Linked DNA regions of Oreochromis niloticus. The protein of the gene in region 2 interacts with the protein of the main gene of each other region in a pairwise test. Links are inferred from orthologs where the notes say so. Each region holds a gene or a part of one and is shown on either strand. Other genes may lie near its edges.

What was found.
Region 1: the proteins of jakmip2 (region 2) and CAP-Gly domain-containing linker protein 4 interact in binary tests that used the Homo sapiens proteins (3 or more experiments, as listed by UniProt). The two-hybrid records come from large-scale screens. The link is inferred for Oreochromis niloticus from reciprocal best matches to the Homo sapiens genes JAKMIP2 and CLIP4.

Annotation. Positions count from the first base shown.
Region 1 is NC_031983.2:24,619,639-24,627,145, forward strand, and holds the start of CAP-Gly domain-containing linker protein 4, read right to left. Parts: upstream 3,077-7,507; 5' UTR 2,609-3,076; coding exon 2,569-2,608; intron 2,070-2,568; coding exon 1,923-2,069; intron 929-1,922; coding exon 789-928; intron 298-788; coding exon 204-297; intron 1-203.
Region 2 is NC_031975.2:21,410,245-21,417,918, forward strand, and holds the start of jakmip2 (janus kinase and microtubule-interacting protein 2), read right to left. Parts: upstream 3,104-7,674; 5' UTR 2,930-3,103; intron 1-2,929. Other genes in the region: sodium- and chloride-dependent GABA transporter 2, read left to right, coding at 5,593-5,794, 5,900-6,034, 6,597-6,737, 6,907-6,988, 7,284-7,416.

The DNA.
Region 1 (7,507 bases), on a different chromosome or scaffold from region 2:
GTTGTAGTAACAGACAGTAAGTCAGCTCTAAAGAGTGTATTTAAGAAGTGGTTGATGAACAGCTGCACTTACTGAGGTATACAGAATAATGTTCAGCAGTAGAGTGGTCACATAAATTAACACACACATACGTCAGAGTAGATGTCTGTTTATTTCTACCCTGCAGCTGAGAGTGCTTATTCACCACCTCTGTCAATACTTACCAATGCCTGGGGCTCCGGCCTTGCAGCAGTAGTGCAGGAGGCTCATATCTGTCAGACCGTCTCGATCATTCACAGCACAGCCTCTCTTTAGGATCTGTGCAAAGAAAAGATATGCAGTATGTGCCACTAAGGACTTGGTGTTGGCGTGCAGAAATCTTCCATAACAGGTTAAAATGAAATTAGGGGGAAATTGTGTGATGAATGACAAGTAATTCAAGGCTTTCATAACTCTACTCATCTTTAAATCTGGACAACAGGTGTTACGTAAACTGACATTGAAACAAGGTATTTATTTCTCAAGGGTGATAGTTACTCAGAGAAAATGATCGCCTTCTTTTACCCTTGAGATGAGTGCTTCTCTGCACAGTTTACTGCAATGCAGCTACTTTGTGTAACACGGGCAGAAGGGATTTGGTGTGTATCTGAACAGAGTCCATAACAATGAAAAAAAATAAATCAGAACTTATATTAATCTGAAGTCCTCTGAAGTTTCAGTTGATTATATTATGACAAAAATAAAAGCATTACAGCTACAGAAGGGACCGCTGTGAAATTCCGCAGCAGCTGGACATTTTTTAATGTCACCTCATTGCCGATGAGGTCAATGTTCTTCTGAACCTGGGGCACCCACTGCCTGAGGACAGCAAACAGCTCTGGTATGGTGGTGCTGGGATCCAACAGAACCTCCCTGCATTGCGGCTCACTGGGGTCAAAGAAGGAGAACTCTGGAAGCAATGAAGAGGAACGAAAGTGACACATGTTAAGTATAATGAGGAGTGGGACCGGAAATATTTCTCTCCCGTGTACAGACATGAAGAGAGCATGTGTGAAACTCTGCAGCACAGACGTTTATTGCAGACGTTTCTGCAACTGACTGTTCAATCGATTCAGCAAATTACTAATCTTGGGAAATGCCCTTGCTGCCCTTGCAGAGGCAAATGAAAACAGATGTGACAGTAGATGGCATGCCGTGAACCAAATGAGGCATTAGATGACCCGGCTGGGGCTGAAGGTAAATGGCTTTCACTGTGAAAGGCCAAAAGTTAACACTAACTGTAGTCGGCTAAGTCCGTAAGTATTTGGGCATGAAATTTTTCATAATTTTATCTCTGTACGCAACTACAGCAAATCTGAAATGAAATACTTTGATTAAAGATTCAACTTTAAGAGGGTCTTGGGGAAAAAAGGCATTAAACATATAAAAATTAGACTGTAAATTACATCACTCAACTTAGAAGTAATTGAACAGTCAAGTGTTACTTGACTTCTGTTCACCTCAAAAACCTAGCACCAAATCAACACAGTAATTTCTTAAAGAAATCAAACTTTCTTAAAATGCAGAGTCAGTACCAACTTTTAAAAAAAATTGTGACCACATCCAAGTATTTAAGGACATTAAAGCAAATCAGCATCAAACCTGCTGAAATGGCTTTACGATTAATTAGGTAATTCAAGATATAGACGATAACAGTCACAACGTTCTTGTTTAAAAATAAATCACTACAAAAGAACAATGTCAAAGTGTAACTAACATATCCAGCTACATTATTAGAACCCAGAGACTCTCTATCACCATCATCGCTCTGTGTCAATTTAAGCCATCAACCTTTCTTCAGTCTCATATCTTGTGGCATTTCACAGCCTGTCGATGCTGCAAAGAGAAAGCGTTAACTAGCCTGAAATGTCACATAGCTGCACAGTGAGAGCGTGAATACTCACCACAGTCACTGGGCATGGGTGCAGAGGCCACCTGGTGGATCACTGGCCGCTGATGAGAAGAGAGTCTAGCGCGGCAGCCCAGGACCGTGTCGCCTTCAACAGGCTCTGAAACATCCTCCTTTGTCATCTCCCCCTCAGGGCCTGCGGCTGGAACAATATTAGAAAGCCTATTCTGAGAACACAAGTAGGTCTAATCTCTCAATAAAAGCACACAGGCTAGCTACAGCGATGTTTTCATTTGATCTGGCAGTGCAATACAGGGAAATGTAACTTGTATGCACAGAACTAACATAATATAAAAAACATGGTATTTTAATCTGTGGTGTCGCCTGAAGAATATAGGGGGAAGGCGCATTCAAGCTATCACCCCAACAAGACAGGGCTTTTCAAAGAATGTCAGCATTTGACTCATAGCACCTTTGAGAGATTCCTTTGCCAGCAGATTAGAAAACAAAGAAAGGTTTTTGGTGAACACACCAAACTACGAGCCTAATCTCAAAAAAGTGACACTGTAATGCGGACACAGGAAGCTTTCACAAAGGAACCTTGGAGGCTGAACTAGAAGCATACACACACACCCACACACAGGTGTAAGCCTGGGAAAGCAACATTGAGCCTAAAATCTTCCCAACCAACCCTCACTCACTGTCATCTTCTCCTTTATCCTCTTTCTTGTTGATCTCCATGTGAGCCTCCCAGTCGTGCTAAGCTAAAATCAAAAGACACAGACTGGGTCCAGTAGAACATCTAACCAAAATCCTTCCCAAAATAACTCCAAAGCTCATTGACTGCCCCCCTCCTCAATCTCCAATAACACCCCCACTCTCTCTGATTATACCCTGTTGATCCCCTGACTCCCAGGTCCAGCAGCTATTTACAGCCTGTACACTTTCAAGCCAAGGAGCTTGTATATCTGACTCTCCCGGCTGGAATGTCACTCTCACTTTCCAGTCCTGTGAACCTCTGACCTCACTGACATAGAGTAGCCAAGCGTAACCCCTAGTGGAGGGAATGTGGCCTGTAGGCTGATAGCGCAAACAAACAGGAGGGAAGTGGTGGCTTTGATTAGAAGGCCTGTCGTTCACCACAAAGCCCAGTATCCATTTCCCCCGGACAGCAAACATCAGCCCTACTGAAGCAACCATAGGACAGACACAGAATACCTATCAGCCCCAGAGAGAGGGTAGCTGACTCTACACCCTGACCTCCATCCATTTGGTGTAAAGGAGAAAAAAAACCTCACTGTCACAATAGGGTTGTATTATCAAATAAAAGCAATTTCTTAAAAAAAAAGTATTTGAGCAAATTTGCAAGATATTTGTAGAAATATTTCAAGAAAAAAACTCATATTTCATAAGAAAAGGGGCTTAATAATATTAACCACTCTATTCTCTTTAAGTGCTTAACCGAACCACGATATTTGATAAGTGGACCCGCATTTGCTCCAGAAGAGCCCTGAAACTGAAGCGCCCTTTTTTTGATTAGCTTGTGGCACTTCACTTCACAGTCTGATTTTCCAACAGCATGCTGAGGTGAAGGTCTGACAAAAGACTAATTATTTTTCAGGAAGTTTGAAAACTTTAGCCTCAACTTTCCGAGTCACAAAGATGCTTTCTTTTAACCTGGATGAATTACACATAACTGAAACAATGTACTAACAAGCAAATTCAGATAACTCATATCAAGACAGGAGTCATCAATGTTCTCTGTTATCCCAGGCTTCTGCTTCAGCCTCTGAGAGTGCTCAAACATTTATAAAAAAAGGGCGTTTGATGTGTCATTTCACCCATCTTCTGCACAAAGTTGACAGATCAAGTGCTACCTACTTCAGTCAAAAAGTATCAGAGGAACAGGGGATAGAAGTCAGTAAAAAAAAATAAAAAATATAACATCTAACATCTAAAAATTCTCTAACATGCACTTTAGCGCAGTCAGATCTAAGTAAAATTAATTTTACTGATTGAATTTTGTAGTATTTTATTCACAGCAGTGTGAAGCAGACTTGGCAGTACCAGAAGACTCAACAGGTTTCATGTATAACACGTTTTTCTTCAGAACAGAATTAGTATTCCTATTAAGGTGAAAACTAAAACAATCAATGAAATTGTGGCACTCACAGACTATTTTAAAAAGAAATAAATGTGTTTTATACATACAACCTGTTGATTTGCATTTTTACATTACCATTAAAGGAAGCTGTGACGTTAGAGCAACACAAACTGTGTGCTTCAAATAGTCAGCAGGTGATGCAGAAAATTAATAAGTGTGTCTATGGAGCAATGTCACACTCATTTAATGTTTAAAAAAACTTGAGAAATAATAAATAAATAAAAGCCTGTAGTGAGTGCTAACATTCGTGTATTAACTCAAAAGAATAAATTATTTTCTGCAGAATTACTCGCTTGCCATATTTGCAAAACCAATGTTGCTTTTTATCATTTTCTTTTTTTGATGATCATTTCTTTAGTCTTTTTTTATTACATAGAATTGCTCGGACTCAAGTGGGTAGCACTTAAATGGCCCATTTTGTGCAAAAGAAGAGTGAAATGGCAAATTAATTACTCTATTTTTGTGAGCATTCACTGAGACTGAGTCAGAAAGTCTGGGTTACAGAAAAAACTGAAATTATCTTTGACCAAGAATTTAGGATTTACCAAGCTAATGCAAAGAAAGCAATGACCTTTCTTAACAGCACACCTCTCAGGAGAGTGAATGTGCATGTTTGAAGAGAAAGAGAGTGTCTGCCATCAACATGTAACTGTTGATAATTTCTTCTCCATTTCTGTAATTTCATTGTTGCAAACAGAACATTTGTATATAGATGTATGCTTTAGCAGTGACTGTAATTTCCATAGTTCATGCTAATAAAGAGTGAGATGAAAAACTACTACCAACCTCTCTGAGGTCACTGACTGGCTGTGTAGAGATTAGGTCTTTGCAGTATGACTTGAGACAATGGCCTACTTCTAGAATAAGCCTCTTCTTGTTTGCCTGACCTACATGATGTCACCATTCCCACAGCTACCGAAGAGACAGCACTCGCATATTTTTGATGACTGTGGCCATTTAAGCACCCATTGGCAAGCTACCCATTCTGGCTGACTGTAATGTATGTTGATCTTTTTAAGTTCCATGCTATATCTAGAAAACTATTTGAATTACATCATTAAGCTCATAATGACTATAACGTCAGGAGCATGGAGCTTCAAAAAACACCCTGAATTTTCTTGAAAATTGATAGCATTTCGTGCACTAGCATATTTGAAGGCCATAAGTAGAAAGAATAATTTTACAGCTAGGATGTTGAAATTGAAATAAAAATTATATGTATGTGTATTTTTATTGAGATATTCCACACACAAAAAATGGCATCAATAAATTTAATTGGATTTTTCTATAAAGATTAAATGTTTAGTGGTAACAACATATCCAAAACGTTTGTTCACAGGCAGCATCCTTGACCTCCATCCATCCTATGCGCCTCATGCACCAGGCCAAATCATGAACTATTACCCCCTGCATTTGTTTGCTGATGTGAGGTGGGGTGCGTGGATTAGCTTGATTATGCAAGATAGAGGTTCCTGTTACTCTAATCGGAAGCAGGTATGCACTCAAACAACAATAAAGCCATTAAAAGTTATATTTTAGACAGGAATACTTTAAGTCCTAAATGACCACACTCGGTCGCTTGAGCTTTAATCAGCTTGAGAAAAGTTATGCAACTTATTATCTAACATCCAATTATTGGAGAGATGGCTTATTTGTGGTTGTTTATACCAGTTTGTGTGACTTAAGTGTGGCTGATTCATTTATATCCCCCAAATCGTTAGCCAACTTCACAGTCGAAGAGGCCATCCCCCTAGCAGTAGACACTCCCTCCTCATCTCATACTTTTGTAGCCCTTCAGCAGAGGTAAATATAGCATGTCATCTTTTCAAACGTCCACACGTTGATTTAATTAATTTCCAAATAACTTTGTCAGCTAAAAGTGTTTTTAATCGGGCTACAAGCTGACAGTAACAGTTAGCTTGCTAGCATATGTTCAAAAACCGGCTCGGGCTTAGCGACAGATGAAGCACACCTTATATAACTAACACTGCAGACATTGCTCAGTCCCTATAAGCAGCTAGCAGTCCCTGCTTTCACCGTGCAGACGTGAAAGTTACTCAGAGCCCTCCTCTCAGTCACCTTAGCTCCCTGACGTTAATGTTCCCCAACACGAACACTGGGCCAAAAACATCTGAGCTACTTACAATGCACTTAGCGAGCAGAGAGAGACACAAGCATCATGTTAGGCTGCTTAATATTAGCGTTACCTTCACCTCCCTGCTTGTTTTGATCCGCCCATGGGGAAAATGTCAGGTAGCGGATTTAATTTCCGTCCATTCTAATTGGATGTTGCACAGCTGAAATACTTCCTGTTTCAACATCTAGGCTTCAGAATAAAGGCGGTTAATGTAAACTTCCGGTTTTTAAAATAAAAGTATTACAACGACCCATAAAAATAAAATAAGAAATAAATACAACTAAATAACTTTTGAATTGTTTTTGAAAATTAAAAAAACCCGAAAGACAATAAAAGAAACTAACCTGCAATATCTTGACATCATTTGCTTCATGTAAACATATAAACATGCCATTAAAGACACATGTTCATTTTATGTATTTATTATTCATTTATTTATTGAATGAATAAATGTTAAATTTATTCTTTTCTGGTTTGAGCAACAATCCACTAATAAAGTTAGGGGTTTTTTTTCTGCCATCCAGTTACATAATATAAAGTGGCAAACCTACAAAAAGGCATTATTTTAGCTGGCCTGAAAGTTCCTTCAATTCTGGGATTGTTTGCCACATACTAATGAAAATAATCAACAGCTGAATACCAGAACCTGCTGAAGGAAAATACCTCGAAATACATAAATTGCACTGTACTATTTTGGTTACAGAAATTTTGAATTTTGTTTTTCTGTTTTTGTTGGGCAAGAAACTGTAGGCGAGTCGACAAAAGAGAAAAGACTGTATATTACTTTATGATTACTTTATGTAATTAAAATAGCACTGTTTAAACCCAGTGCTTTAGTTTCTTATGGAAGCACTTTCATGACTGTTAAGTCCATTTCATGTTTTCATTACAGAATTCATAATTGCTCAACTAAAATAAATGCTCTGTTCCGCTGTATAGGAAAAGGATACCCATTTTGTTGATGCACTGCTTTATTCTGAAGCACCCAACCTCCGAATACAACAAACCTCTTACTTTTAAAAAGAAAAAGTAAGCTGCCACAAAGATGGATGGTGCAAGAGGTCACTTTTCAGTCTAATGCCTCTCTTATCATTGGCGGTCACAGTGTGGGAAGTTGTGTCTGAACATCTTTCTTTTCAGGAGAAGGTAATTTCTCAGGGTGACACTTTTCCTCCAATGTCCATTCAGACTGACAAGCCACTTTTAGTGAAGATTCAGGTGCTGGTGTTTATTGAACCTGAAGAGCACTCTGCATGTGTTGCTGCCTCTGTCATGAAATAAAGAAGAGGACCAAATTGCAGACTGCTGAGACGGACTTGGAATAAACAAAAAGCAAGCC
Region 2 (7,674 bases):
AGATGCGAGAATTCTGTGGATAACATCCTGAAAAGGTTAATTTTCCCCATATCGTGATTTTCTCAAAGCCTAGCCAAGCATTTTTTCCCTAACCCTGTCCAAACAGTCACATGGTTGGAAGTCTTTTGTTTAATATGTGCCACCACCAAGTCTTCCACCTATTAATGTGTATTTTTACACTGCTTTACTATGAACACTCGTAGTGCAAAGCTGAAAACATACATGCCAGCCACTTTTTAGGTACACATTAGTAGTACCAGATTGGACCACTATTTCATGCAGAAAATATCACATTAGCATCACACCACCACCAGCAACCTGAACTGTTGAGGATGAATGGATCCATGCTTTCATTTTGTTTACATCAAATTCAAACATTCGACAGTTGCAGCAGGAATCGAGACTGATCTGACCAGGCAACGTTATTTCCAATCTTCTATTGTCCAATTTAGATGAGCACATATGGGTTGTAGCCTCAGTTTGCTGTTCTTAGCTGACAGAAGCAGCACCTGGTGTGGTCTTCTGCACCCACAACCCATCTGCTTCAAGGTTCAAGGTATTATATGTTCAGAAATGCTCTTCTGCATACCTTGGCTGCAACAAGTGTTTGTTTGAGGTATTGTTGCCTTCGTTATTAGCTCTGTCTGTCCATTCTCCTCTCTAACTTCTGGTCCAGAGAACTGTGAATCTGATAATTCAACTGTCTTGACCATGTCTACATGCAGGTATGATGATGTGTTTCTCATATACATAATTCTCTGCCAAGTCAAAGCACACAGGAATAAATACTCTACTGCATGTTCAGTCATTCAATATGATTCATTAATGTCACAATCCACCTAACAGTTATCACTTAAGACTCAGATATATGATATGATATATGTAATATGATTTTGTAAATACAGACGGAACACTGTTGGGAGCTCGTGTTCCAGATGTGAAGCAGAAATCCAACCTCCTCCCTAATACCAGACCTAGACACACAGACTGATCTCTTTAGCAATGTTATGTCCACGTGTTTGTGACAGCTCAACCAACTGGCACTTTCAGCTTTATCTTTCTGTCATGTTCATTTTTCATCAAACACAATCTTGCATTTCAGGACTATTTTTGATTTAGTTAATCCCTGTTATGCAACCCTCTCAGTAAAACTTAGCTGGACCAATGCCAGTATTGCCCCAACATCGAGGGGCAAACTAAGTTTAATCAGTCTGGTTTAGAGCTGTGACATAATCTGGTTCAAAGTGCCATCACTTTGGCTAAAGTGAAGAAGAACTGTTCTTCTTGTTATTGGATTACATTTCAGTCCTGACCAAAAGATGCTTTCTAATCCATTTGCCTGAGGTCAAAATACCAACCCTGTGTATAAGCAGAGCTCTGCTAATGCTGGAAATAGTGCAGGAAATGGATCTAAATGACTATGGTGTACATCTGCTCCATGTTTAAAATACTTGGTTTTCTTTCCATTTTTTTATTTAATAATTCATATTTAAACAAATTAAAGTTCGAAAAAGTAAATATAATTCTAAAACAATAGTTGTATTAATAAGAGTGGGAAATAAGGTGTATCTTGCAAGATTAACAAATTGGAAAATACATTTGTTGAAACAGAAAACAGAAATGGTGGTTTGCATCATTGTTATTGCAAATTTTAATTTGTAATATTTCCTGTATGCCTGGCTAAATGTCCACAAACATTATAACATCTACAATACAGCTGTAATATGTAGTGATGGCTTGCAATTATAGTATGGTGTTAGCATTGACTGTTATGTTGAAGCTGCAAGCTTCTGTAGTTGTTCGGGATAATAAATTCCTCTTTATACCCAAAGTAATCCTTGATGATGCATGGATAAGATCTGAAAATAGGATTCTAGACTTAATGATACAGGGATATATATAACTATCTCACCTCTGCTCAGCTGGTTCTGACAACAGCAACATATTTAACAAATTTATAGAGCATTATTATTAGTAATAAGCCCACAGGTCAACCAAAGCAAAAAAAGGTCTCATCTCATTTTTTCCTGTTTTTGTCATCTCCTTTTGCCACATTTTGCTATCAGTGTTTTCTATTGGATGACTCTTGCATTTATAAAGCAATCTATAAACAATTAGCTTGTGGTCAGTCATTAGCCTGCATCTGCCCTGGCCATAAAACAATACTGTGACAAACACCTTCCCAGCTGGGGTGATGTCTGTTAAATCAGGCCAGTGTAACACCCTGAGGCAGTTGTAGGCTACAGACTCTGAGCCTCGATCTGGAGGCCCTGCCAACCCACTGTGGACTAGCATCCTCTTGCAGCATCACTGCAGCATCCTTTCCTTTTACGACACGGCCAGCAACGTGTAACGATCTGTCAAGCAGAAGAAGAAGGATGAAAAAAGGAAACCCACATCCAGAATTACTACACGTGCCTGATAATTATAGAAAAGGATGCTTATCTGGCTTTACCCAAAGGCACAAGCAACACCACCTGGGATCCTCACTGCACAACAATCACGGCTACCAAAAGCTCGAAATATGCTCGATGCAGCGTGAGCATCCGGCTCTGCATGGCGAGGAAAACCCCGAAGCGGACACAGGCTCCATCCCCGTCATCTTTAAAGGGTTTGCTGGTGTAGGCCGAGCTCTGCCACTTCCGACAGGCAGGCTAAATCTCTGCTGCCGGGCTAAATAAGACATGCTTTAGGGGTTTATACCACAGTACGCGATGGTGGCCTCTTCTCGCTCCAGTGTTACATTTATTTTTAAAGCGGAGGTGAGATTAAACAAAAAACAAAAACAGTCTTAACATCTCTCGCTTCGCTTCTGGGATGATCAGTGTGAGTCAAGCCAACAGGCCCGCTAGTCTCAGTAACTCCCAGTTCAGACGGTGATAAACCTCAACTACAGCAGCCACACTGCCGACAGATTTCATCGCCTTACCTCACAACAGATTCCCATCCAATGTGAAGACCTAACGGGTGAGAAACCACATCCATGGCATGCTTCCGTTACTAAATAAGAGAAACACAATCGCCTGCTATGGTCTCTGCATCAGCAGCAGCCCCGTACAATGAAGTGATGGCCGGTGGTGATGATGCTGGGAGCCCCGCCCTCCTGTCAGCGTAGCCAGAATGAGCTCACTGATTTTCAGCCCAGCCGGCTCCAGTAGCGCTGCAGTCCACCAGTGCAACAGCACTGCTGTACAAAACCTGCAGCTTTTCTTTGCCTTTAATTTTTTTTCCCAGTAGTTTGTTTCCCCGTATTTGCCAGATGACATACAATGCTTAGTTAAATTACATGCACGTCTTAAATACACAAATGTCTGGATGACTTCTAATTTTCTGCTTCTAAACTCAGACAAAACTGAGGTTATTGCACTCAGCCCTGAAAATCTTAGAAACACGGTGTCTAACCAGAGTCTAGATGGCATTACCTTGACCTCCAGGAACACTCTAATTAAACTTTGAGCCATTTTTGACCAGGCGATTTTCAATTTGCATATTAAACAAATGTGCAGAACCAAAGTTTAATTTAATATCCTTCTCTTCAGTTACCAGGTCTTGAATAATCACACCCCATTATATTTTAAAAACCTCATAGTACCTTACTGTACTAAGTTCTTTGCTCTCAGACTGCTGACTTACGTGTGGTTCCTATAGTTTCTCAGTGTTGAGTTTGCAGCAGAGCCTTCAGCTTTCAGGCCCATCTTCGGTGAAATCAGCTTGCAGTTTGGATTCAGGACACAGACACCTTTACTTTTATGATAAGGCTTAAAACTTTGCTTTTGGATAAAGCTTATAGTTAGGGCTGGATCCAGTGACACTGAATCGTCCCTAAGTTATGCTGTCGTAGACTGGGGGCTTAGAGTTTCTTCTTTGTTCATCAGTTTTTTACTTAGTGAATAATTTTTAACTCTCTTTTATAGTTTGTCTTTTCTCCAGTCTACCTCTGCTCTGTTCTTTTTCCCCTCATCCCCATTCCAGCGTGGCAGATGGCTACCCCTCCCTGAATCTGCTTCTGCTTCTTGATTTCTTCCTGTTAAAAGGGAGTTTTTCCTTCCCACTGTCACCAAGTGCTTCATCCCTGCTCTAACACACTGGGATCTTTAACCTATAATATAAAAAGGTAACTTTTGAGGTGACAGCTGGTTTTACTTGTCACTATATAAATACAACTGAATTGAATGATGTGGCATTTTGCAAAAGTACACAGTTGGGGTGCTTCAGTGTCATCTTTCTGCCACTGCATCATTTTCAGATCCTTGGTATTGAGTATTAGTGCAGTTTAAGAGTAAGACAACTTATCTGGATCAGAAACTGCCAACACATGATAATTCATGATAAATAACTATAATGCATAACAAATAATTCTGCCCTGCCTTAAATATTGAATTAATTTTAAGGATTCAAAGTTCTGAGGCTTATCGAGTTAGAGTGTTGCCCAAACTTTTTTTCTGAGTTTGCAGGAGTAGTTGCTTATTTTCTCTACAATAAATAAATACATAAATAATGTCAAGATGCCTGTTAAAGTTCCAGGGCATGTCTAAATCTTTACATTACTTTATTTATTAGCCAAACCAATAAAATAATCAGAAAATTAAATGCATATTATTCTCAGTGTAACATTTGGACTTTTTTTGTGTTATAGAGAGCTGTGTGGTACGAAAAATAATGTTATAAATAGTGCCACCTAAAGGTCGATCTAAGAATTGTGCGTAATTGGCAGAAGTTATGCACAATTCTTAGGTCCATTAGGAACCATTGGCTGGACTCCGATTTTCTTATACAGAAAAACAAGACATTTAATGCTAAATCAAATTACTATGATAAATGTTGCTAGAGTCTTCAGATGTCTGCATCTATTTTTGACATTTTTTTTTTGAGTCAAAACAGTTTTAAATGTCTTCTCTGAGTTCGAGATCCAAGTAAAGCGTAAAAACCTGTTGTTTTTTCTGCATTTATTTGTTTACCGTACTATGAGTTAAGATATATGAGGCCATATAAAATAATAATAATAATAATAATAATAAATAAATAAATAACCTCCTGAGAACCAGTCTATTCATTTATATCATCTGGAATGGACATTTGTTTTTTGTCTTTATCTTTCGAGTTATTTGAGCTACCCTATAAGTCCATACATACTAAATAGAGGAAAACCCGGGATTTCCATTGGTATCTGATTTTGTGTGTCTTTTAGCTCCAAAGAGGAAGGAAATAACAAAAGAAAATGTTTGATTGAAAAGATTCTTTTTTCCTTTGTTCTCAGGAGGATGAATAGTGTGTAGAAATGTTCCCCAGGGTTTGTTTTGCTGTCGGTGTCGGATGAATTAAGGCGGAGCAGTAGACCCCATCACCAGCTTCTTTCATCACTCTTTCCCCCCTGCATCCCACAAAACACACATTTCTCTGCAGCTTAAGTAGGCGAGTACCCCTCTCAGCCAACACAAGTCACAGTAACAGGGCCAGCGTATCAGAGCCGCTGCCACATTAGGGCATCTTCAGCTTCATATTCGTGTGACCAACCCCGTGTGAGGTTTAGTCCAGTGCGCGGGGAACTTTACACAGAAACAAAGGAAATCTGGCACCAAGTAAACCATTTAAATGGGGGAACAGATGACCACAAACGGCAAGAATTGCACCTCCACAGCTCGTGTGCCAAACAGTCACCCAGAGAAGGCTGAAGAGGTGGAAGGAAGGGGGCACTGGGGAACCAAAGCCGAGTTTATATTGACTGTGATGGGTGCGATCATTGGACCCGGGAATGTGTGGAGGTTCCCCTACCTGTGCTACAGAAACGGAGGAGGTGAGTGATAGCGTAAAGAAACGCTCTTAGTTGTCAAGCACATTTTGTCCAACGGTATTTTTTTCCTCCTTGTGTAAACAACGAAAAATTCCACCTTTCTTACAGGTGTGTTTTTCATCCCATACATCTTGTTCATATTCACGTGCGGGATCCCCCTCTTTTTCCTTGAGACTGCCTTGGGACAGTACACTAGCCAGGGGGGAATTACTTGCTGGAGAAGGATTTGTCCGCTCTTTCAAGGTAATTAAAATGAACGTCCCCAAACTTTTCTCCGAAATGTCAGTCATAATTTATACATATTCAGTGAGTCCTTATATCTACCAACGGGCTTGTATCCTAGTCTATTTTTTTATGCGTGCTCGATTATTCCCCTAGAAACACCGCTGAGACCGCCTCCGTGTCCAAAAATGGTCTCGGTCCAACTACAAACAGTGTTGAGGCAAGGTGCCAGAGGGGAAGTTGTTTACACCTCCAGTAGGAGAGTAATCACTGCTACTGAAAGATTACTACACGCATGATTGTTAAGTGTATGAACCACATGAATGCATTTCATAAATATGTTGGTTATATTCCAGTTATACTCCTGCTTTATCGCACAACGACCTTATTTATAGACAGTAGACCTCTGCAAAGAGAAAGTGTTTACACAGTGTTTCGACTGACATTACACTTTTATATAGCTTACGTCTGCGGTGTTTCCTTTGCGCACCTTTTAGCTCTCAGACTTTAGGTGCTGTGCAAGAACAGAACTGTTTCAATACTTGGCCCTTACCAATTGTATTTATTTATTCGTTTATTTTAGGCATGGGCTATGCCAGTCACTTAATCATCGCATTCAGTGCAACATCTTATATTATAATCCTGGCATGGGCGTTCTTTTACCTGTTCCAGTCTTTCAGTGGGGATTTACCTTGGGCCACATGTGGACACTACTGGAACACAGGTACTACAGTACTGGTATATTCTAAAAAGCAGTGGCTATTGTATGCCTGGCATGTTGTGTGCTGTAAGAGTTTTGAATATAGAATATATGAACTATAATTTGAAGGCTACACCTTTGACACTGTAAATGGGCATTTTTACCTTGCTGATGTTTTATTTCCCTATACCAGACTCATGCTTGGACTTGAGCCATCTGAATCTGAGTATGACGTCCAGACTGAACACTACTCTTCCTGTTGTGGAGTTCTGGCAGTAAGCATATAGTCAACTCACACAAGTTAAACAGAATGCCTTTTTCCCCTTTTTCACTCCCTTCCCTTACTTGTCTCGTTCCCTCTCTCCTCCTTTCTTTATGATCATTTTCAGATGTTTTCTTTTAACTCTCCACTTCCTCCCACACTTTTTTTTTGTCATCCGTCAGTCATCCAATCTGGCACTCAGTTTTCCTCCCTCCCAATTTCCACATGTCCTTCCCTTTCACCTGCCGTTCATTTGTGGTCTCCTGGTCTCCCTCTCACCCACATCATTGCTCCCTTCATTTGACCAGGCGTCGGGTTTTAAAGGTCTCTGGTGGTATTGAGGAAGTTGGGGGCTTGCGATGGGAACTGGTCCTTTGTCTCATCCTCAGCTGGATTATCTGCTACTTTTGTGTTTGGAAGGGTATCAAGTCGACAGGAAAGGTTAGTAATTTAAAAACTGAACATTTTATTTTGTAAATTTTTTTCCTTTAAAAAAACAAACAAGAAAATTCATAATGTCATATCATAAAATCATCCTAAAAAGATTTTAAAAGTCCTGATAATGTGGCCTTGTGAAAGAATGTACACTAAAAAAATAACAGAGGATTTAATCTAGAGCCTTGTGGAACACCGTGCTTGTGGACAGCAAACAAAAAACGAAAAACAGTGACTCAATACAAAAATCCAAGATGTCTGAAT